3 linked regions of the Diceros bicornis minor genome follow. The main gene of each other region encodes a partner of the protein of the gene in region 2 in a complex. Links are inferred from orthologs where the notes say so. Each region holds a gene or a part of one and is shown on either strand. Other genes may lie near its edges. The genes, in order: GOLGA4, ARL1 and ARFIP2.

Region 1 (7,778 bases), on a different chromosome or scaffold from region 2:
CCAGCTGTGCTGTGGCAGTGTCCCACATATAAAGGAGAGGAAGACTGGCACCAATGTTAACCCAGGGCTAATCTCCCTCAAGCGAAAAAGAGGACTGCCAACAGATGTTAGCTCAAGGCAAATCTTCCTCAGCAAAAAAATTAAAAATAAAAATAAAAAAATAATTATAAGTAGTCCAAGAACAAACAAACAAACAAATTCGCTTGAGTGGGTAAAAGGGAACTGGCTTTTACACCCCATTAAATTCTTGAGGGCATGGTGCCTTCGAGACAATTTATACAAAAATGAAGAAATGATAATATACAAATTCAAGATCTTTTGCTTAAGAAAACAAAGATACGTGTAATCTGTTGCAAAAGAATTGTCATCAAAAAAGGTTTTTCTGGGGCAGGCCTGGTGGCGCAAGTGGTTAAATGCGCAGGCTCTGCTGCAGCAGGCCGGGGTTCGCAGGTTCGGACCCCAGGTGCGCACCGACGCACTGCTTGGCAAGCCATGCTGTGGCGCATCCCATATAAAGTAGAGGAAGATGGACATGGATGTTAGCCCAGGGCCAGTCTTCCTCGGCAAAAAGAGGAGGAGTAGCAGACATTAGCTGAGGGCCGATCTTCCTCACCAAAAAAAAAAAAAAAAGGTTTTTCTATTTTGTTTTTTAATTCATGTTTGAAAGAAATCCTTAACTCTGAAAACAATAATCCAGAACTCATCCTGAAGGGTTCTGAATAGCTGAGGATCTGAGACCACAAGAGAATCAAGTTTCTATCAGTAGTTCATCACTAACAATTTACTTTTGCATTCCGGATAAATATAAATATTATCAAAGAAGATTGTTTTAAATCTTTTGTACACAAAGTTATTTGACCCAGTTGCACTGTCTGACCAGAAGCATCAACCTATAGAAACTGAAAGCTCTCATATGTTAGCTTGTAACTATAGCTTTTTTATTATTATTCTAAAAACAATCTCTCTTTGCTAACGTACAAATTCATTTTCATGAAGAAAAATTTAAACATCACAAATATGAAAAAGAATACTCATAAGATCTCATCAGTACCTTAGAGCATCTCCTTCTTAAACTATTTTCACTGTCTGTATATATACTTACATACGTATTTTTTCCCACAAAACTGGGATCACACTTCACATGCTGCTTTTCAATCTGTCTTTTAACACAAATATCTTTGCGTATTAATAAAACTTTTCTGTAGGCTCTAACACTAGCTGTGTGACATTAGGCAAGTCACTCAACTTCTTTGAGCTTCACTCCATAAATGAGAAACTACCTCATGGGTTTATGTCCGAATTAAATAAAATAATCCATGTAAAATATTAAGCAAAATGCCTGGCACATAGTAAAAACCCAATAAGTGTTGGCATTTTTTAAGGCTGCCTAATAACTGACTACTTGATGTAACTTATTTAATCAATTTTCTATTGTTGAACATTTTTAGCCAGTTTTTACCTATTAAAACAACACTGAAATGAAAATCCATGTGGCTAAATCTTTAATACATCCTAAATTTTCCTAGAATAAATTTCTAGAGGTGGAATCCTGGATCAACGATATTTTACACATTCCCAAATGTAAGCAAGCCTTACACTCACTAACATGCTCATTCCCCACATGCCTCATCCGTACCTCAGTTTTAAGCTTTTTCTATGTTTCTTAAATAATCGTATTTTGTAAAGTTTAAAAAGCCTGAAGTAAATGGTACAAAAAATAAAATATTTACTATTTAAATTTTCATCGTTATTTACATTTTACATGGGAGAATGAACAAGCCTTCAGCGTAATGCTCTGATGTATTTCAAGCACTGTTTTACTCTACACGAGCTTAACAGAACTTCAATATACAGTTCCAGAAAAAACTCAATGCAGTAGTTGTTTAATAGTTGTTAATCAGTTGGTTAACAGCTGTTTAAAAGTTGCATAAGACAAATATTATGTTAAAAAATGTTTTAGAAATGCCTCCAAACCAGTTAAAACTCAGTCTTTCTTGTAGAAACTCTAAAGTTAAGAGATTTGCTCAATCTGTTGAGACTCAGAAAGGCTGGGAAGAAATTCTCTTCGCTGAAGAGACCACGCGCTGCCAGACCCAAAACACACATTCATTGGCGCTTAGGAGACTGTTTCTTTAAATTAACACTACTCACACGCTCCCTTTTTCCTGGAAACTGTCATTTCCTCAAGCAGTTCTATTCGTGAAAAACAAACGTTACAAGACTCTTGAAGAAGCAGAAGTCAGGCTGTGGACAGGCAGCAGCCGGGCCCGGTCTCGGAGTATCAGCCCCTCCGCCTGCCCAGATCAACCAAGTTATGCGAAGGGACTAACTCGTGACAGCCTCAGGCGCTGGACGCCGGCCACACTGTCGCCTCTTTCAGGTTCCAACGCTCCTGCAAGCAGCCTGGCCTGGAATGGCTCGACCCCTGGCCCTCACCCCTGGACGAGGGTTTGGACTTAGACTTTCGCCACGGGACAGGAGTCCTGCGGGATCCTGTCTCCTCCGTACTCAATTTCGGGTCAGGGATGAGAGGGAGGACTTCAGTGAAGAGGTCAGATATGACAAGGGACCCAGGTTTTCCCATCCCACACTCAGTCTTGAGTTGGGGTTTCGGATGGGCGGGGGAACCTTTGATATGGGTCAAAAATCACGCCAAGATCGGAGTCCCTCTCACTGGTTCTCAGGCCGGGGTGGAGCATCAGTGGAAAACTCGAACAGAGGTCAGATGCTACCAAGGATCCGGCCGCCCCCACCCACTCTCCCGAACGGAGTTTCGGGATGGGGGACCCCAGTCAGGAGTCACGGAGGACCTAGGCTGCCCTGAGCTCATTCCCAGTCCTGGGTTTGGGCGAATTACAATGTTAGAGGTCAAGGGTCACGGAAGAACCTCCCCTGCTCTTCGCCCCCGAGCCGGCGTCAAGGAGTGTCCGGAATTAGGGGAGAGCGGCGGCCATAGTACCTGAGTGGAGGCCAGCGCCTGCTGGAACTGCTGCTGCTCCTCGCTGATCTTCTGCTTCAGTTTCTTGAACATGGCGCACCGCGGGGTCCTGAGTGTGAATGAGACCTGAGGGGCGAGTGCCCAGGGAGACCCCGCCACGGAGGCGACGGCGGCTTCTCTACGCCAGGGACCGCGGGGGCCAGGCCTCGCCTCCTCCTCCTTGGGCTCGCGGGAGGATCGGGACACTCGTCCTGCGGGTGTCGGCGTCGCCGCCGCCGCGTCTCTTTCTTCTGGGTGCCACTGGTTGGCCTCGGCCCCCCATCCAGCCCCGGCGGCAGCGGCGGCGGCGACAACGACAACGGCAGCAGGTGAACGATGTGCCAAAAGCGCCTGCGCGGCCTACGTGGAGCTCGCCGAGGGAGCTCTACGGAGCGCCGGAGGGGACAAGCACACGAAGTCGGCCAGCACATGCGCGCTCGGGGTATCGCTCCCGAACGCGAGACGTGAAGGAAGACGCAGAATCCTGTGCTGCCTAAAGTCGTTGCGTGCAGAGAAACCCCCAGAATCCAGGCGAGGAGTGGTTTGAGCGCTTCACTGACGCACACTTGGGCTTCAGCGCTGCGAAGTCAGGCGGGGAGGGTGGTGCTGTTGAGGACGGCGGGGCTGACAGGCCCATAGCGAAGAACCAAGTATGTGAGCGTCCTGGGTGGGAGAAGGGTGTTCCAGGGAACCTGCCTGGGGCTCTGAAGGATAGTGTCCTTCTGTTCAGTATTTGTGGTGAGGATTCTGTATCTTCAGTGCCTACTACTCCTGCTGCTCCCCAGAGGGGCCCTCTTTCCTCTCCTGGACTCTTCCAGGGGTCAATAAGTACCTGACGGGAGGCGCCAGGGTCCAGATGTTTCAGGCCGATGTTGTAAGATCTCAATCGTTTGGACATCTGCCTTTATTTTTTATTTCACCGAAATCGTATATTTTCACATATTCATTCAAAAATTTTTATCATTGTGAGTGCCAGGTCTTTGGGGATGTTAAAAGAATTCACAGCCTGATGAAAGACACAGGTTCCTGAAGAGTTCAGATTTACCCCTAACACCTGCAGTCGTCCTAAGAGATGTGCCTGACTCATCAAACACCCCGAACTTTGGCGGTCTGTGAACCCTCAGATCCAGCTCAGCAACCTACTTCTGCATGCTGTACCAAATTGCTCCACATCGCCTCAGATATCAGAACCTGAGAGAGTATACGCTGATCTTCACATTTTAGCAAATTTTATTTACTAGCAATTATAGGAGCAAGTTGCTCTCTAAGATTCCATAGCCTGATCCCTAAATGTGTTAGAGCCAGAGCAGGGCCTGGTCTGAACACTGCATTGACAACTGGGCTAAGTCCTCTCTAGTCTCATAGTGAACACCTATGTAATAACCAAGAGTTTGTTTTTTCCAGGGGTCTTTCTCTCTCAAGATTGTAAAGGCAATAGACCTTCGGCTGCTCCCAGACTGCCGATGCCTGATATGCATCCTCACCCCAACGTTCACAATTATAAATCAAAGGTTGCCAATGTTATACATATGTATATGTGTGTGTGTGTATATATGTATATATTTGTGTATATGTGTATACATGTAGGTGGGCCCTATCAAAGCAGGCCATAATAAGTAATAAACAAATGATAAAAAGAGATCCAAAATATTACTTAGAGAAAGAAAAAGACCAGAAGAGGGCTAATTATGTCCTTGCTAGGACACAAAAAAGAGAAGAGGAGGGGCAGGGTTGAAACCATCACATTTAACCACAATTTTGTTGAAACATTAAGCCTCCTCACAGCCCATTTGGCTTTAGGCCTCTGCAAATTAACATTCTCTCATTGTCTGTTCTAATTAAACCTATAAAATATGCTCAATTCTTCTGCCACTCCTTGATGCAAATTACCTTCTGAAGGCTCTGGCCTTGGCCTACTTCTCAGAGTCCTGCACCAACCCAGCCAGAGCACCCTGCCTGCCCTTGTTTTCCATGTTAGTAACTTGGACTCATCTAACCAGCTGCCCAAGGACTAGCACACCTTGCATGAAATGGGTTGCATCCAATCATAATACCAGAGGCCTCATGAATTTATTTCCCCAGTGGAACTGGTACCTATCTTTTTTAACAAAAAGAAGCAATCTTCATAATTATAGACCAAACCTAATTATCATTCTTTCACTCCTTCCAATGGCAGATACCATCCCCATCTCCATATTTCAGGAAATTTTCAGAATAACATAATCACTAGGGACTGTGCTTCACAAAACTATTGTATATCGGGCCGGCCCCGTGGCTTAGCGGTTAAGTGCATGCGCTCCGCTACCGGCGGCCCGCGTTCGGATCCCGGGTGCGCACTGACGCACTGCTTCTCCAGCCATGCTGAGGCCGCGTCCCACATACAGCAACTAGAAGGATGTGCAACTATGACATACGACTATCTACTGGGGCTTTGGGGGAAAAAAAAAAAGGAGGAGGATTGGTGATAGATGTTAGCTCAGAGCCGGTCTTCCTCAGCAAAAAGAGGAGGATGGATGATTAGAGATGAAAGAGCATGGATGTTAGCTCAGGGCTGATCTTCTTCACAAAAAAAAAAGAAAACTATTACATATTATTAAGTTCCTTTCCAAGCCTTAGCTAAGAAAATAGTATGTCAGAAAAGACATAGCCAAAAGAACCAATTACAGCTGAAACTTTTAACTCTGATTTCCTGCTTTCTACAAATGCCTTATCAGCCCTTTTGCATCACCACACAACACGCTTTCTTAACCCTCATCAAGAATCCTGATACCTGCCACCCACAGGAGTAGAGCATAGCCGTTAAGAGCATGGTCTTTGATGTCACGCAGATTTTGGTTCAAATATAAGTCAGCCATTTTTTTGGCACTGTGACCTTTGACACTTAGATAAACCACATATAAAGTCAAATCCCTGAAAGGAGTAGAAAGGTTATGAGTGAAACACATATGATATAAGACAATGGACAATGAGGGAAAGTAACAAACTAGATAGTGCAAACCCATCGAGACATTTTTAAATGACTGCAGCAAAACAGCTCTTAGAATAAAATTCAGCTCAAAGGCCAGATTGTGACCTCTGAGTCTCAACTCTCTGCCCTTCATTTTCCTCATCTGTAACATTTTAACGTTTCATGGGAATGTTGTGAAGCTTAAATGAGATGATGTACATAAAGTATAGCTCATAGTAAATGATATTTATAAATTCTAAGAGTTTCATTCTCTTTTTACTTGTAACACTCTCCATCTATATGTTGAGAGCTCTAGCTTAGGCCTCCCCCTGAGCTCCTGATTATAGCATCTCCACTAGGCTTTCAGGTTTGGGAGGGCAAGAGCCATACCTGTCATAAAAGTCAGCCAGTGCGTGGTACAGGGCCTGACACTAAATTTCTGCAGAATTACCTAGTCTTGATACATCCAACTGCCTACTGGACAACTCCTCTTAATGGCCTATAAGCACACAAATTCAACATGTCCAAAACTGAAATCATCCACTACTACACCCCCTACCATCACCATCAGATTGGCCTCTTCTGTGTTTCCTCTCACTTCTTGCATCTTCTCCTCTTGACAGGCTTGTTTTACCATCTGTATTTTCTCGCTTGGCTGATGTCATTTCCATCTGCCCAAGCTAAAAGTTTGAAAGTGAGTTAAAACATCCCTCTCTCATTCTTCACCTATATCCAGAGAATCACCAAGTCTTGTGTCTTTTACTCTGAAATACTTCTCAAATCCATCCTCTTTCCTATTCTCTCTGCCACTCGTTTTAGTCTTCAGTATACCTCACCACTTAAATGATCTCCCAGTTTCCAGATTTGCTTCTTTCTAATCCATCTTCTACATAGCTGATGTTACCCTCCTGCTGAAATCCCATCAGTGGCCTCCTTGTCCTGCAGAACACTGTTTAAATTCCCAGGCAGTACAAGAAGCCCTCGGCAGCCTGGCTCCTGCTTTCCCTCTTACTATACCCTTTCCACCCTTCACACTTCAAAGCTCCAGAAATGTCAAATTAACTTGTGGTTCCCTTGCACACTGCTTTTGTATACGTCCTTGCTATTCTTTTTTTAGTCTACAAGTTATACATAGTAGTTGTGAAAATCTTAATGAGCGCAGTATACTCATTGTCCCTCATGAGTTTGTACCTTTTTTCCTTTTCCACTTATCCACCCTTGATAATGTTGCTCACATGTCATCACCCCATTCGAGCATTCTCTAACACTGCCTCCAAATCCCCCACACACACACACATCAGTGGAGTTCATCATGCTCTCCTCTATCCAACCTCAGTCTTACATGCTGTTAATTTATGTATCACACTGTATTTTTATCCTTTTTTATTTCAAAAGTAATATCTACTTTCTGTAACAAAAACAGAAGTATAATCTTATCTCCCTAAATAACCCCTTTTAATAATTTAGTTTGTATTATTTCCATTTGGTTTCTGTAGTTATGAAAATATAGAGATATGTAAATTTAATCATCTGTATATAAATATATTTGTAGGTTGTTTTTCTGTGTGTGTGTGTGTGAGGAAGATTAGCCCTCAGCTAACATCTGTTGCCAATCCTCCTCTTTTTTGCTGAGGAAGATTTGCCCTGGGCTAACATCTGTGCCCATCTCCCTCTACTTTATATCAAGCATGGCTTGATAAGCAATGTGTAGGTCCGTGCCCAGAATCCAGACCTGCGAACCGAACCCTAGGCCACTGAAGCAGAGCACGTGAACTTAACTGCTATGCCACCAGGCTGGCCCCCAATATATTTGTAGTTTTAATTGTCTAGTTTTATAAAAAATGGATCATACAT
Region 2 (7,559 bases):
AGAGGCTGGGGTGGGGGAGTAGGGAGTTATTGCTTAATGGATACAGAGTTTCCACTGGGGTGATGAAAATATTCCGGAATTAGATAGTGGTGATAATTGCAAACCTTGTGAATATACTAAAACCCACTGAATTGTACACTTAAAAACTTTAAATTTTATTGTATGTGAATTGTATCTCAATTAAAAATAAAACCTTTAGTCTAAAGATAAATTCTGCCCTGTTGGCAAAGTACACGTTATTAAAAGAAAACAATTGAAATACAATACATATCTTTATTTGTGAAAATCACACACCTCGTTATGATTTCAAAATGCTCCTTAGTTTAAAATACCATTATAAATACACAGTATGATAAGCACTTCTGAAACTTACAGTTATTATACTTATATTTTTATACTTGTTATATTTCATAGGTTTCTGCTTCATGGAGTAAAATCTGAGCAAAAGAATGTAACTTCCACTATGCAATGGAACACACAGAAATGTTAAGTTTCTAACTTTGGAAACTAAAGCAAATTCTTGAGGCATGGTCATGTGTTTGAAAATCAATTTACCAAATGTTTAAATCATGGCTCAGTCACAGAAGGCATCATAATCTAGTTACTCCAGGCCTGGAAGTCAAATGATCTGGGTCGCTGTCCCAGCTTTGTCACTTAGTGTGTTTCTACTTCATCTGTAATTGAGGTGCCTGGAATTGAGGTTCCTCCCAGTTTTGAAATTCTCCATTTATTTGATCTTATTGTGACTCTTTTTTTCTTTTTTTGTGAGGAGGACTAGCCCTGAGCTAACATCTGATGCCAATCCTCCCCACCCCCTTTTTTTTTTCTTGAGGAAGAGTGGCCCTGAGCTAACATCTGTGCCCATCTTCCTCCACTTTATATGGGACGCCGCCACAGCATGGCCTGACAAGCAGTGTGTCGGTGCGTGCTCGGGATCCGAACCGGCGAACCCCGGGCCGCCGAAGCGGAGTGCACACATAACTGCTTTTGCCACTGGGCTGACCCTCAATCTTATTGTGACTTTATAGTCAAAGGAGGAGTTTTGGAATTGTTTTACTTGCTTGGATTGCATTAAAACATTCACATTTTAAAATTTAGTAAATTATTATTGGACCATAAGATTTGACAAGGATTAAATTGTCCACTCGACTTTTAATAAATTGGACCAAGTGAGCTCATTCTACTGAGACTGTCTAAAGCAATACCACCACCTAGTGACTTCTCTTCAAATATGACAACTTCTTTGAAGATGACAGTTTGGCTTCTCCTATCAAATTAGGACAGGCGGTTTAGATATGACTATTTTAGGAAACAAGTTTAATAATACTGCATAATATATGTTTAAGTTAACTAATATTTATGGCATTAGCTTAAAAACTCATTTCATAATTCAACAAATATTTGTTTAGTCCCTAAGTGCAACAACAAAATAGTGAACAAAATAAACAAAACTCCTTGCCTTTATAGATTTTAACATTCTAGTGAGAAGTAGATAATAAATAATAAGCAAGTAAATTATAATATGTTTAGTAGGTAGTTCTATTTAAAAAAATCAGGATGAGGGGGATGTGGGGTAGATTGCAATTTTATTTTATTTTTTTAATTTATTTTTTGTGAGGAATATCAGCCTTGAGCTAACATCCATGCCAATCCTCCTCTTTTTGCTGAGGAAGATTGGCCCTGAGCTAACATCCATGCCCATCTTCCTCTACTTTGTATGGAACGCCATCACAGCATGGCCTGACAAGCGGTGTGTTGGTGCACGCGTGGGATCTGAACCCAGGCCGCCAGCAGCAGAGCGCGCGCACTTAACCGCTAGGCCATGGGGCCGGCCCTAGACTGCAATTTTAAATGGGATGACATTTGAGCAAAGACTTGAAAGAGGTAAAGTTAATTCTCATGCTTGTCTGAAGAACAAAATTCCATACTTACAATCTAAATATTTAGCTTTAATTCTAGTATGCTGCTATGATTCTGCTTCCTCAGTATTTCTCTTTAGTAAGCAGGAACTATACTACCAGGTCAATATTAATAGGAACGACTACATTTTGAAAAATAGTGTTGCCCTAAAGATAATATACCTTTCCTACAGCGTAATGGCTGTCTTTAGTTAGTATCAGAAAAGATAAAGGAAGTGGTAGTTTTATCTTATTTTTCACCACCTTAACGTGACCTTCATGCACTGAAAATGGAAATTTCCTATGAAAGTAGGAACTGCTCTAATCTTAGGAATTGAGGAAAGCAAGGGGTTAGGTGGAGGTGGGATGTAATCACCAATAAAGATTAGCTAAGTTTCTCTAGGCTATTTATGGCTTTGTTATTTATAAATTTGTCTCAACGCTTTTTGAAGCCATTTTAATCTTCTGTCTTCATATCCTTGGGTTAATATGCACCTCTAAAAGTTAGACATTTCATGATTTGCACACCTTATAGGCATAGCCTAAGGCCTTGAACATAAGTTATCTTATTTGTCCTAAACCTACTTCAGAAAAACTTTAAAGGGTAGTACCTTATCTTGTTATTTTGGTTTTTTTTTTTTTTAGATCAAAGGTTTCTGTGAATAGAGAAAAGATTTTTGTTTTGTTTTTGATGCATCCAGGACATTAGACCAGATCTTTACTGACAAAGCAAAGAATTAAATGAGTGAATTGTGTGTGTGTGTGTGTGTGTGTGTGAGGAAGATCGGCCCTGAGCTAACATCTGCCAATCCTCCTCTTTTTTGCTGAGGAACACTGGCCCTGGGCTAACATCCATGCCCATCTTCCTCCACTTTATATGGGAGGCCGCCACAGCATGGCTTGACAAGTGGTGCGTGGGTGCGCGCCTGGGATCCGAACCAGAGAACGCCGGGCTGCCACAGCGGGGCGCCTGCACGTAACCGCTTGCGCCACCCGGCGGCCGCTAAATGAGTGAATTTTGAAACACAAAGTTTTTGATCAAAGTGCCTAAAGGGTTTTTGTTTGGTCTTTATCACTACTGTTTCCATAGTGACTTGTAATGAAGTGCTTAATACAGATTATGAAAGGCTGAAATGCCATTCAACAGTCAATATTAACAATGCTTTTTAATTTGTATATAGCACTTCAGTTTACACAGCATCCTCACATACATCTAATTTGCTCATTAGGTTCAGAATATACAGTGTGAATATAAAGTTTGTAGTATATCTTTCTTTTCAGTTCCCGTTTTAAAGGAATCTATATTTTCAAGGAACTACGTGCATTGTACTGGAAACATAAATCTGACAGGGACATAAATTTGAAGTAGCAATGGCCAAGATCTTGCAGAGACAGGGACTGGAGGCGGATGAAGAATATCTGAGAAAGATCGCTGGAATCATACGCACGCTGAGGTCCTACAGTGGACAACACAATGCTTACAAAGCAAAGCGTTTAAAAGGCCTAGGTGTACCTGAGTCACTCCCTCTCTCCTTCCCAAACAACAAAACAAAAATAAAAAACAAAACCAAGCCTTTTCTTGCAATGAAAATTTCTATGAATTTATGATTTGGGAGCGGCGAGGGGAGGCGAGAGCCATAGGCACATCTAGTTCAATGCCTAGGCAGCTGGAAAGGTCTGAAAATTGAAGCCAAAAACAAGAGACAGTCCATAAACTTAGAATGGATGAAAATCTCTATTATAGATAAAAACATAACATGCAAAGATGGTATTTGGAAGGAGATCCAAGAACGTGTTAATAGTGGTTATTTCTAGGGACAACTGCGGGATTGGGGGTTAGGGATAGGTTTACTTTTCTGTGTACCTTTAGGAATTTTTAAGACACGCATGCTCAACCTTTACAAAGATTAGAGTCTAGGAGAAGCCCTTCTCCCTATTCTCTAGGTGTTGCTTTCTACCTCCCAACACAGTTCACTGTCAAGACCTGTATTACTCCCAATCGACGCCCCCGAGGGAACAGGTCCCCAGGCCCCATGATCGGGACCAGCCCGCCCACAATACCGAGTCCGGAAAGGTGGTCACGCGCTTAGAGTCAGCTGGAAAAAAGCAGGAGGGGCTCTAACGCTGGCCCTGCAGGCCACCGCGACGCCAAAAGTCGCCAGTTAGCGGCCTCAGGTGCGAGGCTGTCTCTCATCGGTGGCGAGGAATCCTCCTATTACTATTGCGTAGTCCTAGTTCCTCATCGGAGAGCGCAACCCGGGAAAGCAGAGTCGCCCCCTCAGGGCGCCTCCGGCCCTGCAGCTTCGCCGACGCGGCAGGCTGCGCCCGCGTCCAGTCGAACTGCCGCATAGAGGCCAGACTCGCATTCTTGGTTGGCGGATTCGCCACTGTTTGGTGCTAGAATTTAAAATGAAAATTCGAATTTCCCTGTGTCGGAAGTCTTTCTCGTCCAACAAAACAGAAGCAGGAGGGGCGTGGGGCCCTTGAATTTTTTTCTGTCTCCCGGCTTCCGCAGTATCTACGCCCAGCGCGCGGGGCACCTGCGTCGAAAGCGACGACGCGGACGCTCAGGCCGCCGTTCCCGGCGCGCAGTCGCGGCGGCTCCTCGCTCCCGCCCCCGCCGGGAGTCCGACGTGGAAGTTGCTGGCGGACCAGGCTTCCAAGGAAACCGCCTGGGAGCCGGAGCCAAGGCGAGCGGAGGTGGCGGCGCCGGGACGGGAATAGGAGTCGCTGGCGAGGCCGGGGCCTGTCTCTGACGATCGACGAGGGCGGACCGACGTTTCATCATGGGTGAGGGATCTGCGAGGGGCGCCCGGGCGCGCTCGAGGGGCTGCGGCCGAGGGCTGGGGCGGGGGGGTCGAGGGGCGGGCGTGGGAAGCCCAGAGTAGCCAGCTTCTCAGGCGACGGGTCGCTGAGAACTTAGCTCACCTTGGCTCTTCACCTGGGGGGCGGTCAAGAGCCTGCCTCCAGCGTTCGCCCCCGCTTGTAGCCCTTCATCGCGGCGGGTTCGGGGTGGGGGCAGCGGGGTTCCGCGGAGCGCTGCGGCCGGGGAGCCTGGGAGTCCTCTCCCCTGACCGTGAACTACTCCTTCACCCCCTCAGTCACCCCCTGGGCAGAGTTGGTCTTGCGAAGCCTGGCGACATGTCACTTGCAGGTTCGCCGAGGTTTGTTGGGTGAAAAATGAGATCTGACCCCATAGTGGAAGCTTGATTGCCTCTCCCTCCCTGGTGGCTGGGACTGCGTCAGTTTAAAAAAAATCCAGACAGAGGTGCTGCTGCTCGTAATGTTGTTTTATAGCCAACTTGGCATTTGTGTGCTTATCTATAGCTTTTCATGTGGGTAATAGAGTAAGGCGGAGAAGGAAGTGGGGAGAGTATTACTGGGCAGTGAATGAAATTTGAATCTCAGTTTTTGGGGTGCTAATTGAGGGAACTACATTGTCATCACAAGCGTCAGCTAAAGCCTCCCTCCCCGCTAGAGCCCAAATGAAGGTGCAGATTCTTTAACTTGTTTACAACTCTCCAAATGGTGCAAATTCTTTGGCTTATTTAAATCCCTCCGCGGTTTTCTTGGGAGTTGACTTCCTGCTCTGGAACATCACAAGCGCTCTCCTGTCTTTTTCTATAACCCCCTTGAGTTTTGTTGCTCCGCCTCTTTTTTATTTGTAAAAGATAGGAAAGACTTTAAGTCAGCCTTTTCTATTATACTTTCCCCGAGGTTCTCTAGTCCATGTTGTGTTCATTTATCCAGACTCGCAGCTCTTAATTGGGCCATCTCTTTGTTAAATAACCGCGTATTGTGAGTGGCATCACTTCTGTTGTCAACTGTTCCTTATATTGTTAGTGTAACTTTCTTTTTAATCTTTTCTAATGGCTTTTGGTGGGAAAGGGCCGAAAAGCTTTTTTTTTTGTAATTATAAAAGAAAAAATTTATTTTAAAAAAGCTTCTTTCTTTTGTTAACAAGAATAATAAAGAGTGTAAATTTCCGCCTCCCTTACTCTTAGGGGTTATTTTACTTAAACACAAGCGAAATCAATCAATACCTTAACCCGTTACCAGGAGGCCCTCCTGAGATAAAGCATAATTTTTTAATTTTAACTTTAATTTTTTTCTAGCTTTATTGAGATGATTGACGAATAAAAGTTGTATATATTTGAGGTGTGTAATGTGATGTTTTGATATGTGTGTACATTGTGTAATGATTACCACAATCAAGCTAATTAACACACTCATCCCCTCACATAGTTACCTTTTTTGTGTATATTGTGAGAACACTTCAAGATCTCTCTCTCAGCAGATTTCAGGTGTGCAATACATTATTATTAACTGTAGTCACCGTGCTATCCCTTAGGTCTCTAGAACTTATTCATCTTATAATGTTTATACCCTTTGATTAACATCTCTCCCATTTCCCTCACTCCCCCAGCGTCTGGTAACCACCATTTTACCCTCTGTTTGCAAGTGCTTTTATATTACGCAATACCTTGCATATAGGAAGCTTTCTGGAATTATTTCGTGATGCCTTGAATGTAGCTTTATTATTTTTTAAAATGAGTTTTCTCTCAATAGTTTTTGTTATTTTTGGCTTCTGTGTCTCAGTTTCTTGTGCTAGTTATATTGCTAAACAGAGAAATCGCAGTGATTGAAGGTGGTTATGATGGTACTGCTGCTGTGCAGTAATAATAATTGCTTTTCATGTTCGAGGACCTCATTGTCCCACTGTCATTCTGATTTGCTGTTTGGTTTTTAGGGGTAGTGAGGAGATCATGCTGCGGTATACCTATTAATTAGAAAGTGAGCCCCATGAAGGCAGGGGTCATATTTCGCTTATTCTTGAGTGCATCTTCTGTGCCTGCCTGATACAGTATCTAGAACATGGTAACAATCAATAATTAAAAACTTGTTTGATGTTAAATAATATATTTCATTGGGAGCAAAAAATGCACCTATGAATCTAGGAAAATATTGTAATATTATTTAATTTGGTATAGTTTTCAAAGGGCAAGATTAAATGTTTGGTGGACCTAGTTCACAAAGTGATACTGAATACATTTTTGCTTTTACTATTTTTTTAGGTGGCTTTTTCTCAAGTATTTTTTCCAGTCTGTTTGGAACCCGGGAAATGAGGATTTTAATATTGGGATTAGATGGAGCAGGAAAAACTACAATTTTGTACAGATTACAGGTTGGAGAAGTCGTTACTACTATTCCTAGTAAGTGTTGGTATGATAAACTAATTACAGGGGCTTTCTGTTTTTTTTCCATCTAACATCACTTTATTTCGAAATAAATAACTCATAAAATAATTGATAAGGTTTGTAAAGTTCTAGTATGAGTATTGTAAATTTGTTCTCATAAGCTGAGAGGCAGTTTGGTATAATTTAAGGACCCCTGTACAAGGCTGGGTTTTGCTGTTTAGAGTTGTTTTAAAAGTTGGCTTGAGTTAAGCCACTTAATCTCATTGAGAGCTAGTATCCTCATCCATAAAACAAAGATAATAAATATCCACTGGTTTTGAGGGGGAAATAAATGAAGTACATAAAATACTTTGTAAATATCTGTAAAGAATTATATAGATGTTAAGTGATATTGCATGCGAAGTGTTTTTTTTTCTGTATTTGTTAGTATTTTAATTAAGATTCATTTCTCTTAAGTAATTCC
Region 3 (8,083 bases), on a different chromosome or scaffold from region 2:
TAGAAATGTAAACAGATAGGATTTGCCAATTGAGTGAGGGGATGAGTGAGGTTTCTAGCTTCTGCAACTGGATGAGTGGTAAGCATAGGAGGAAAGTTTATGAGGAAACATGTTGCGTATGGGATGTTTTTGAGATGCCTAAGTGGAGATGTCAATCAAGTAGCTCAGAGCAGAGATCTGGTCATCAGTAACTAAAGCCCAGAGTGCGGATGAAACAATCCTAGAAAAATTAAACCGAAAAAGAACAGGACCTAGAGAAACTTATATTTAAAGGCCAGACACGGATGAGCCTGCAAGAGGCTAAGAAGCTGCAGCCAAAGAAGTAGTGGTACAGTCATGTGGGTGGAATCCCCGAGACCAGTGAAGACTGTCGATGATGAGGAACTAGTCGATAGTAACAGACGCTACCGAGAAGTGAAGTAAGCTGAGGACTTGGAAATAACCATTGGACTCGGAAACATGAACGTCACTTGGTGAACCAGGGTGACCTCCCTAAGAACTATTTCAATAGAATAAAAGTTGTAGAAGTCAAAACAGACTGGGTGAAGGAATAGGAATGGAGAGGGCCAAAGTACCAACTGTTTTGAATTTAGCTATAAAGTGGAAAAACAGGATGGTAGCTGGAGGAGAAATGAGGTATAGACTGTTTTTTTTGTTGTAACAAGGGAGTCTTTAGCATGTTAAACACTGGTGAGAAGTAAAGTGGGAAAAAGTCAGAGATTCCCAAAGGACAGACTAGGATTCAGAGCACAGGAATAGGCATTAACCTTGAGAGGGATGCTTGCCTTGTTCAGACAGGAGAGAATGAAGCAGATGCCAGGTGAGTGACCAAGTTTGGTTGCGAGATGTTGCAGGAGTTCTCAACTGATAGCTTCTACTTTTGCCTATGAAGTAAGAAATATGGTTACCTGCAGAAAGTGAAGAGAATGGTGGGGGGCAATAAGAAGCTTAAGAATATTGGTTTGAAATAATCATTGCAGGGAGAAAAGATGAAAAGAAAAACCTGGTGGGATTACAGGGGCTGAGATTCCATTTGAAGTTGGTAACCACGGATTCATGTTGATATAAATGTGCTCTACAGTGATTTCCTTGGGCAGCTTTTAGCTGCCCAAATGCAGGCACAAATGTTTCATTTCATCTAAGAGTCCAACAAAGACATGAAGCAAGGAAATTTAGCTTATTCCAAGAGAATCACAAGAATTTCAGCTGGATAGTAATCTAAAGGCAGGAAGGGGTTAATGGAAAGAGAGAAGGTAGAAGTGATGGCGTGAATGCTCCAGTGAAATCAAAGAATGGTAGTAGAGGAATAGTTCGATAAACAAAGTAGAAGAAATATTGTCAATGAGTAAGATGCAAGTAACAGTGTTTTGAAGATGGAGCAGTTTGGGCTGATGACGATGGCTAGGATATAACTAAGGGAGTGGCTGGCTAAGACAGACTGGAAATCATTGGAGATTAGGTCAAGGAATTAAGAGACCAAAATACTGAATGGACTGTCCATGTAAACATTAAAGCACCAAGGGGTGGATATGAAGACCAAGGGATAGCTATTTAGAGGAAATAGGAGAGTGGTAGTTACTAAGAACAAGTAATGAGAGATAGTGGTATAGTTGAATAGTCTCAAAGGAATCAGTCTTTGCAAATGAGTGGGCAGTTAAGTTCTAAAGCCGCAATGGTGGGAACACCAACGCTGTTTCCAATGTTTGTGATAAAGGGATAAAGCTTTGTCAACATTTATTCTTGTGTTGTACTTGAGACATCACCATTGCTCTCATTATGCCAATGACTACGGTTTATGGCAAGACCTAAGGGCGAGATTTCCACAACTATGGAAGATGGATGGTAGGAATAAGGTACTTCTAAGTATCAAACATATTTATAAATAGGAGCAAGAACCAGGACAGAAAAGATTGAAAATTTAAGGGACTAATTGATGGATCAGATTGAGGGCCACTTGTTTTTCCATGCCTAAGGACTGGATGGGTGCAGATGAGCAAGCAAATATAAACTGTGGAATTTCAAAGAACATAGGCTTTAGAGTCAGACAGATCTATGTTCCTAGCCCTGCTCCAGCAATTACTAATTATGTGACCTGGAAACACAGATAATTCACAAGGGAAGTTTACTGCAAGGATACACACAAATGTTAATGTAGAAGAATTCTCCCACCAGCAGCACAATATCCCAGGGCCTCATTCCCATCTCTGGGAATTGGTAAATTCAAAAGATGGTTTACTTGCATTTATACTTTCCAAGGACAGAATTTTATTGGGTAGACATGAAGCCAGTCAATAGGAAAGTTCCTGCTCAGCAACTTTTACGTTCCTAATAAATTTTTCTGTTCAAGAGACAGCAGCTAAGGAGGCAAAAAGCTGATTGCAACCACTCTTCTTAATAGGTAACTGTATAAGATGGGCTTCTGGTACATTCTGGATTCTTGCTTCCTCATCTGTCAAGTGGGGATAATACCTCTTACTTATAGTTTTGTTGTAAAGATTAACTAAGATAAAGCATAACATATACCAACATCAGAACCTATACAAACTGGGTGCTCAATAGGTATTACTTTGAGAGGCAGCCTAGTGTAGTAAAAAGCACATGGATTTTAAAGTCAGATCTGCATTTTAATACAGAGTCTGCTACTGGAGAATTTCACCTCCCTGATCCGTAGAGAAGAGAGAACATCTGCTTTGTGGGTGGTCATAAGGAGTTTTTGATTATTCTGGGAACTAATGTCTAAGAGCTTCCATTTCCTCTGTAAAAAATGAAACGTGTTCACCTGATGGGGGATAGTTGAGGGTGAGGTGGAGGATTAAGGAGAGCAGTGAAGGTGTAAAATCACTGCCATGTTGATTAGGAGAGGGAATAGACCAGGAACTCATACAGGGTTGCTTGTTGGTAGTGAGGGCTTGGTTGGGGTTGCAGACCTTGAACATTTAGTGGCATTCATTACACAGCTGTGTTTTCCTCTAACGGCTTGAATGAGGAATAGAAAAGATAAAACAGCTGAAATGACACAAAAAGGACACAAGGGTGGCAAGAAAATGTGTTGATGGAGTGCCATTCAGACTGCTAAGTACAGAAGTAAACTCCACAAGAGGGCCAATAATGAGAAAAGAATGTAGAAGATGGAATTAGAAATCACAGAATGGGTACAGTGGGAACAAGGTGGGGTAGAAGTTAGGGGAGCTAGAATTAGATTACAGACAAGCAGTGAGACATTAAGGTAATATTAAAGAGGTCCCAAAGATTTCGCTTTATCCTTGTTTTTTCCCATAACCACCACCATCTATTTCTCCCTTAGATTTCTCTCCTTCAAGTCTGACTGTATTACAGAATACAGTCCCCCAAGTTTTCCCTTTTCTGACTGCCCCTGAAGACAAGGCATATAGACCTTCTTTGTTTAAAGGTTTTACTGCTCATCCAGGGAAGACACAAAATAGTAACAAAGTAACAACTTGAAGAAATGGTGGAAGTTCCGGAAAACCCCAAAATTCTTACAGGTTTCATCTCTGTCCTGGGGCTACTGACTTCCCAGAAGGTAGTGCCTAAAAGCCCTGTGGTTTCTTGATCTGTTGTCCTTAGATACTGCCTCCTTTCCCTAAATCTGGCAAAATTCCTTCTTGTAAGACACAGTCCATGAAAAAACAGTTATGAAGGAACGCATATCTGGCTCAAAAGTGGGCCGTTTAAGTCAGAGAGGTTTAAGTTAAGGACAACTAGAGAGAGCTCCCATTTTCTCTGTCTTCTGGGCAGAAACCAACTTCCTGTTGCTATTATTAACCTTAAAACTATACCCACAGACCTTGCTTTAACCAGCTGCCTGGGAATGCTGAGGTTTTCCTTCCAGACATAGAAGGCAATTTCCCACCTGCCAGGGCTGAAGCCAGCAGATATGCACTAACTGACAAAACAAAGCATGGTCCCAATAAAGTGGGCAAAGCTTCCCTGCCCAGAATATAAATGAAACAGAGTAAAAGCGGGTTTATTGGCTCCAGGAAAAGGAGCAATGGCACCCAGCTCTCAAGCAACTCTCTCTCTATACAGGCCGCACCCAGCCCAAGGTCTACTGGCTCCTTCAATTTGAGGGTCCATCAAGCGCCTCCCTTCCTGGGGTTGGGGATGGCTAGCTGCCTGATGGCGAGGTTCCGGGCTGTTCAGCAGCAACACCTGGCACAGCTGAGGCAGCCTCGTAGTCTGCGATGCGGCGCTGTACCAGAGCAGGCATGAGTTGCACGTAAGCGGCCATGAGGCGGTGGTTGGAATGGATCAGCTTCCCAGCACAGCTGTGCAGACATGCCTCCTGGAAGGAAGACAGGGTGGAAGTAGAGGCCAAAGGTGTCCTGTCAGGTCCGTCTCCTTCCTTCCCATCCCCAGCCTAGGAGCAAGGGGTCGTGGAAAGGCCAGGGCCAGAGATGGGGGAAGTGAGGGAAGGAGGGAGCAGCCTACCCTCTCTACTCAGGTCCCCACCTCCTCAGCATCCAGAGCTCGGTGGTGCAGGCTGGGCACGCAGCGCTGGAAGCAGAGTTCCGTCATGCGATTGTAGACCAACAGGAAGTCCCGTAACTGGGAGAAAAGGAGACCAAGAACTCAGAGACAAGGGGGCCCGCATCTCAATTCAAGCCGCGCCGCCCACGGTTTCCCAGCACCGAGCACCACAGCCCGACGTTTCCAGCCCTCGGACCCCTGGCTCTTTGGGGTTCCCGCCACGCGGACGTGGATGCCAGCTGAAAGTATACCCCCTCAGCGACTGAGCTCCCACTCACGTTTCTCAGCTGTTGCTGCTGCTGCTGCTGCTCCATCACGCCGCCGGCGCGCGGCTACGTCACTTCCGTTACAGCTTCTCGGTAACGCCCCGGAAGTAAGCTCTCGTAGCTCCCCAAGGAATGAGGAGTTGGCTCAAGGATCGCCCTGCCCCCGGCTGCCAACGTCACCTCCGCCCTTATAATCTGCGACGTGGCCGGCTTCTTCTGCCCGGGAGAGGACGTCACTTCCGCCGAGTCCCTGACCTGCTGCTAGGATCGCGACGGGAACTGGAACCCGAGGTCCCCGCGCCGCCCGGGCCTGGCGCCCTGAGGGGAAGAGCGGCCCGGCCCGAGGTGAGAGGGACGTACTTGGGCAAGGGGAAGTTGAAAGCACAAGCCTGTCCTGAGGGCAAGGTGCCTCTGAGCCCTGAGGAAGGATGAGGGCACACCTGATGCCCAGGTGTATGGGGGGGGCGGGCATTCACACACCTGGAGCGACATAACTGACTTTGAAAGGGATCACCTATATCCTGGGAAAAAGAGGCTTTTCTCAGAGGCCAAGAACAGATACCAACTGATTCAATTAAGGCCTGGGTGTAGGGCAGGAGGTGCATGGCATGGAGGAGGGGGAGACCACCTGAAGGAAAGGGGAACAAACACTAAAAGAGTGTGAAAGGCCAAGCAATGGAGAACATACCTGAATGGGGGTTAGGCACCTGAGCTCTGGAAAGGGGTTCTTCTCCTCATGGGGGGAAACACCTGCATGGGGATAAGCTCCAAGAAAGCACAGACTTTGTCTGTCTCGTTCGCTACTGTATTTCCGTTGCCTCAAATAGTGCATGACACATAGTATGCACTCATTAAATGTCTGTTGGATGATTGAATGCATGAATGATCAATAGAGTCCTGGTGGGGTTGGGAGTCATGAGAAGACACCTGAGGCCTGAGTATGAATGTGTAAAAATATGCGCCTTGGAGGGGAGAAATACATGCCTGAAGAAAGGAGTAGTGGCCAAACCCCAGAACACTCAAGCCCTGGAACAACCTCTCAAACCTATGGAATGGCAGGGGATACCTTCCTCTTCTGTAGTACTGGCCAGTTTCCAGAACTGTCTCTGTTGGGCTTTGCAGGGCGCTGGGGTGGAGACTTTGACTCCAGTCCCTTCCCTAGCCATGACGGACGGGATCCTAGGGAAGGCAGCCACCATGGAGATCCCCATCCATGGCAACGGCGAAGCTGGGCAGCTTCCTGAGGATGATGGGCTGGAGCAGGTGCTTCTGTTTGCTTCTTCTCCGTAATATTTCAATTTAGGAATCCTAATTTATAAACCCTGGGCTCTGACCCCCTATTCCAGTAGGCTTCCCCTAACTTATCTAACTCCCTTCAATCTTTTTATAAATCTTCATTCTGATTCTGTGCAGACTTCCCTTGTGCACTCTCTCTATGATGCTTCAATCCAAGCTTATTCTCATCCCCAAAATGCTTCAGCTGCCCTTATGTTCCTGAAGCCCCCCTCTTCTCTGGCCTATAGGACCTCCAGCAAGTGATGGTGTCAGGACCCAATCTCAATGAAACCAGCATTGTGTCTGGTGGCTATGGGGGCTCTGGTGATGGACTCATCCCCACAGGTATGAATGATCAGAACAGGCCAAGAAGCTTGAGTGGAGAGGGGGAGAGGAATGGTTCTGGGGAGTGTAGTATATATCTAAGAAAGCTTGAATTATGTCCAGAGATCTTGGGAACCTCTGCTAGTATGAACCCTATGGACTCTCCTCAGCCCAAGGCCAGTTACCAGTGTTGTTCAGCTACTCCCACTTGCCATTTAGCCCCTGAGATGCGCCCATTTGTCCTTTCTCTGCTGCCACCACTTGAGTCAAGTTAAGAACTCTGTTTCACAGGAGTTCCCCGTGCTCTGGAGCATGAGGCTGATTTGGAACTCTGTGAGCTTCTCAGAGTTTTACGTTAGACTCTAAAATTTAGAGGAACAAACAGCGCTGAATCTCTCACTGACTAGGATTCCACATGAGCGTGTCAACCAGGTTTCCTGTTATCAAGACCCACCATCCTTGACCTGCCACCCCATACTCAGCATATTTTCTTTTGTTTCCTCTGCCCCTGTACACCAGCAACTCCCTCTCCCCTCCCCATCCAATCTCCACCACCTCAGAAGGAGGCCAGATATATATTGGGATTTGGGTCTCAGGGCCCGAGATATGAGTTCCTCCTAGTGAGTAGGTGAATCTAATTGTGTCTAGCTTCCACTCCTTCAAAGAAGCTGTTTTCATGTGCTGGGAGGGAAGTGTGGGTGGAGCCACAGAGGTGTCTGGTTGTACCCTTGGTCCTTTAGGGTCTGGCCGCCATCCATCTCACAGTGCCACTCCTGCTGGCCCTGGAGATGAGGTGGCTCGGGGCATCGCTGGAGAGAAGTTTGACATTGTCAAGAAATGGGGCATCAACACATATAAGGTGGGATTCAAGCCCCTCTCCCTTCCCCCAAAACTCCCCCTGAGTACCTTTTCCCCACCTTCCAGATCCTAATATCCCATCTGTGGCTAAGACGAGGAGCCTGGGGATGCTGGGGTAGATACCTGTTGGGGAGGCAGGGTGCTAGGGTCTCTGACCTATTCCCCAACTTCCCATTCAGTGCACAAAGCAGCTGTTATCAGAGCGATTTGGCCGAGGCTCCCGGACTGTGGACCTGGAGCTAGAGCTGCAGATTGAGTTGCTGCGTGAGACAAAGCGCAAGTATGAGAGTGTCCTGCAGCTGGGCCGGGCACTGACAGCCCACCTCTACAGCCTGCTGCAGACCCAGCATGCACTAGGTGATGCCTTTGCTGACCTCAGCCAGAAGTCCCCAGAGCTTCAGGTGCCTCAGCCAGGCCAAAGAGGGTGGGGGGGACTGGGCCCAGGCCCTCCTAGGCAGTCTCCCCTCAGCCTCCCTCCCTCACTCCCTCCCTGCAGCCCAGAGGGAGAACCCCTCCAGGGTGGGCCCAGCCCTACCCCCAACAGCACTCACCTGTGGAGTCAGCCTAAGGGTTTGTACAGAGGTCCAGAAGTCGGAGTGGGTGGGGGAGGCAGCACATTAGGTGCCCCACAAGTAACCCTTCTCTGCATAGGTGAGAATGCCTTCGGTGCTCAGCCTAATTGGAGCCCCTCCCTTGCCTGCTGCACTAGCTTTCCCTGTTCTAGTCCTGTGAACTTATCTGAGAACCCCAACCCGACATTCCTACCCTAGGTATCCCCAGGGTGGCCCCACTAACTTTCTGGCTAAGAGCCTTGCTGGAGGCAGTCCTTGACTGTTCCAGTTTCCATGGCTGTTTCCTCCCTGGGGAGGAGG

The links.
Region 1: the proteins of ARL1 (region 2) and GOLGA4 are in contact, whole or in part, in a crystal structure (PDB 1UPT), measured with the Homo sapiens proteins. The link is inferred for Diceros bicornis minor from reciprocal best matches to the Homo sapiens genes ARL1 and GOLGA4. Residues at the interface, in NP_001168.1 of Homo sapiens: Ile49, Gly50, Phe51, Gln64, Trp66, Ser73, Ile74, Pro76, Tyr77, Cys80, Tyr81, Ser83, Glu115; in NP_002069.2 of Homo sapiens: Thr2173, Glu2174, Glu2176, Tyr2177, Lys2180, Val2181, Glu2184, Glu2190, Thr2193, Lys2196, Val2197, Thr2200, Val2201.
Region 3: the proteins of ARL1 (region 2) and ARFIP2 are in contact, whole or in part, in a crystal structure (PDB 4DCN), measured with the Homo sapiens proteins. The link is inferred for Diceros bicornis minor from reciprocal best matches to the Homo sapiens genes ARL1 and ARFIP2. Residues at the interface, in NP_001168.1 of Homo sapiens: Glu17, Arg19, Gln38, Ile46, Ile49, Gly50, Phe51, Asn52, Val53, Glu54, Thr55, Gln64, Trp66, Ile74, Tyr77, Cys80, Tyr81; in NP_001363487.1 of Homo sapiens: Phe205, Thr212, Lys216, Thr217, Asp220, Asp278, Ile281, Lys282, Phe285, Leu286, Glu288, Asn289, Lys292.

The regions. Positions count from the first base shown.
Region 1 is NC_080741.1:40,222,106-40,229,883, reverse strand, and holds the start of GOLGA4 (golgin subfamily A member 4), read right to left. Parts: upstream 3,049-7,778; 5' UTR 3,032-3,048; coding exon 2,960-3,031; intron 1-2,959. UniProt on the Homo sapiens protein: Involved in vesicular trafficking at the Golgi apparatus level. May play a role in delivery of transport vesicles containing GPI-linked proteins from the trans-Golgi network through its interaction with MACF1. Involved in endosome-to-Golgi trafficking.
Region 2 is NC_080764.1:21,880,277-21,887,835, forward strand, and holds the start of ARL1 (ADP-ribosylation factor-like protein 1), read left to right. Parts: upstream 1-4,510; 5' UTR 4,511-4,684; coding exon 4,685-4,688; intron 4,689-6,973; coding exon 6,974-7,111; intron 7,112-7,559. UniProt on the Homo sapiens protein: GTP-binding protein that recruits several effectors, such as golgins, arfaptins and Arf-GEFs to the trans-Golgi network, and modulates their functions at the Golgi complex.
Region 3 is NC_080746.1:64,548,333-64,556,415, reverse strand, and holds the start of ARFIP2 (arfaptin-2), read left to right. Parts: upstream 1-4,994; 5' UTR 4,995-5,099; intron 5,100-5,876; 5' UTR 5,877-5,918; coding exon 5,919-6,017; intron 6,018-6,277; coding exon 6,278-6,374; intron 6,375-7,041; coding exon of another isoform or gene 7,042-7,093; coding exon 7,094-7,212; intron 7,213-7,390; coding exon 7,391-7,612; intron 7,613-8,083. Other genes in the region: TIMM10B (mitochondrial import inner membrane translocase subunit Tim10 B), read right to left, coding at 4,127-4,303, 4,471-4,566, 4,767-4,802. UniProt on the Homo sapiens protein: Plays a role in constitutive metalloproteinase (MMP) secretion from the trans Golgi network. May have important functions during vesicle biogenesis at certain cargo subdomains, which could be predominantly utilized by secreted MMPs, such as MMP7 and MMP2.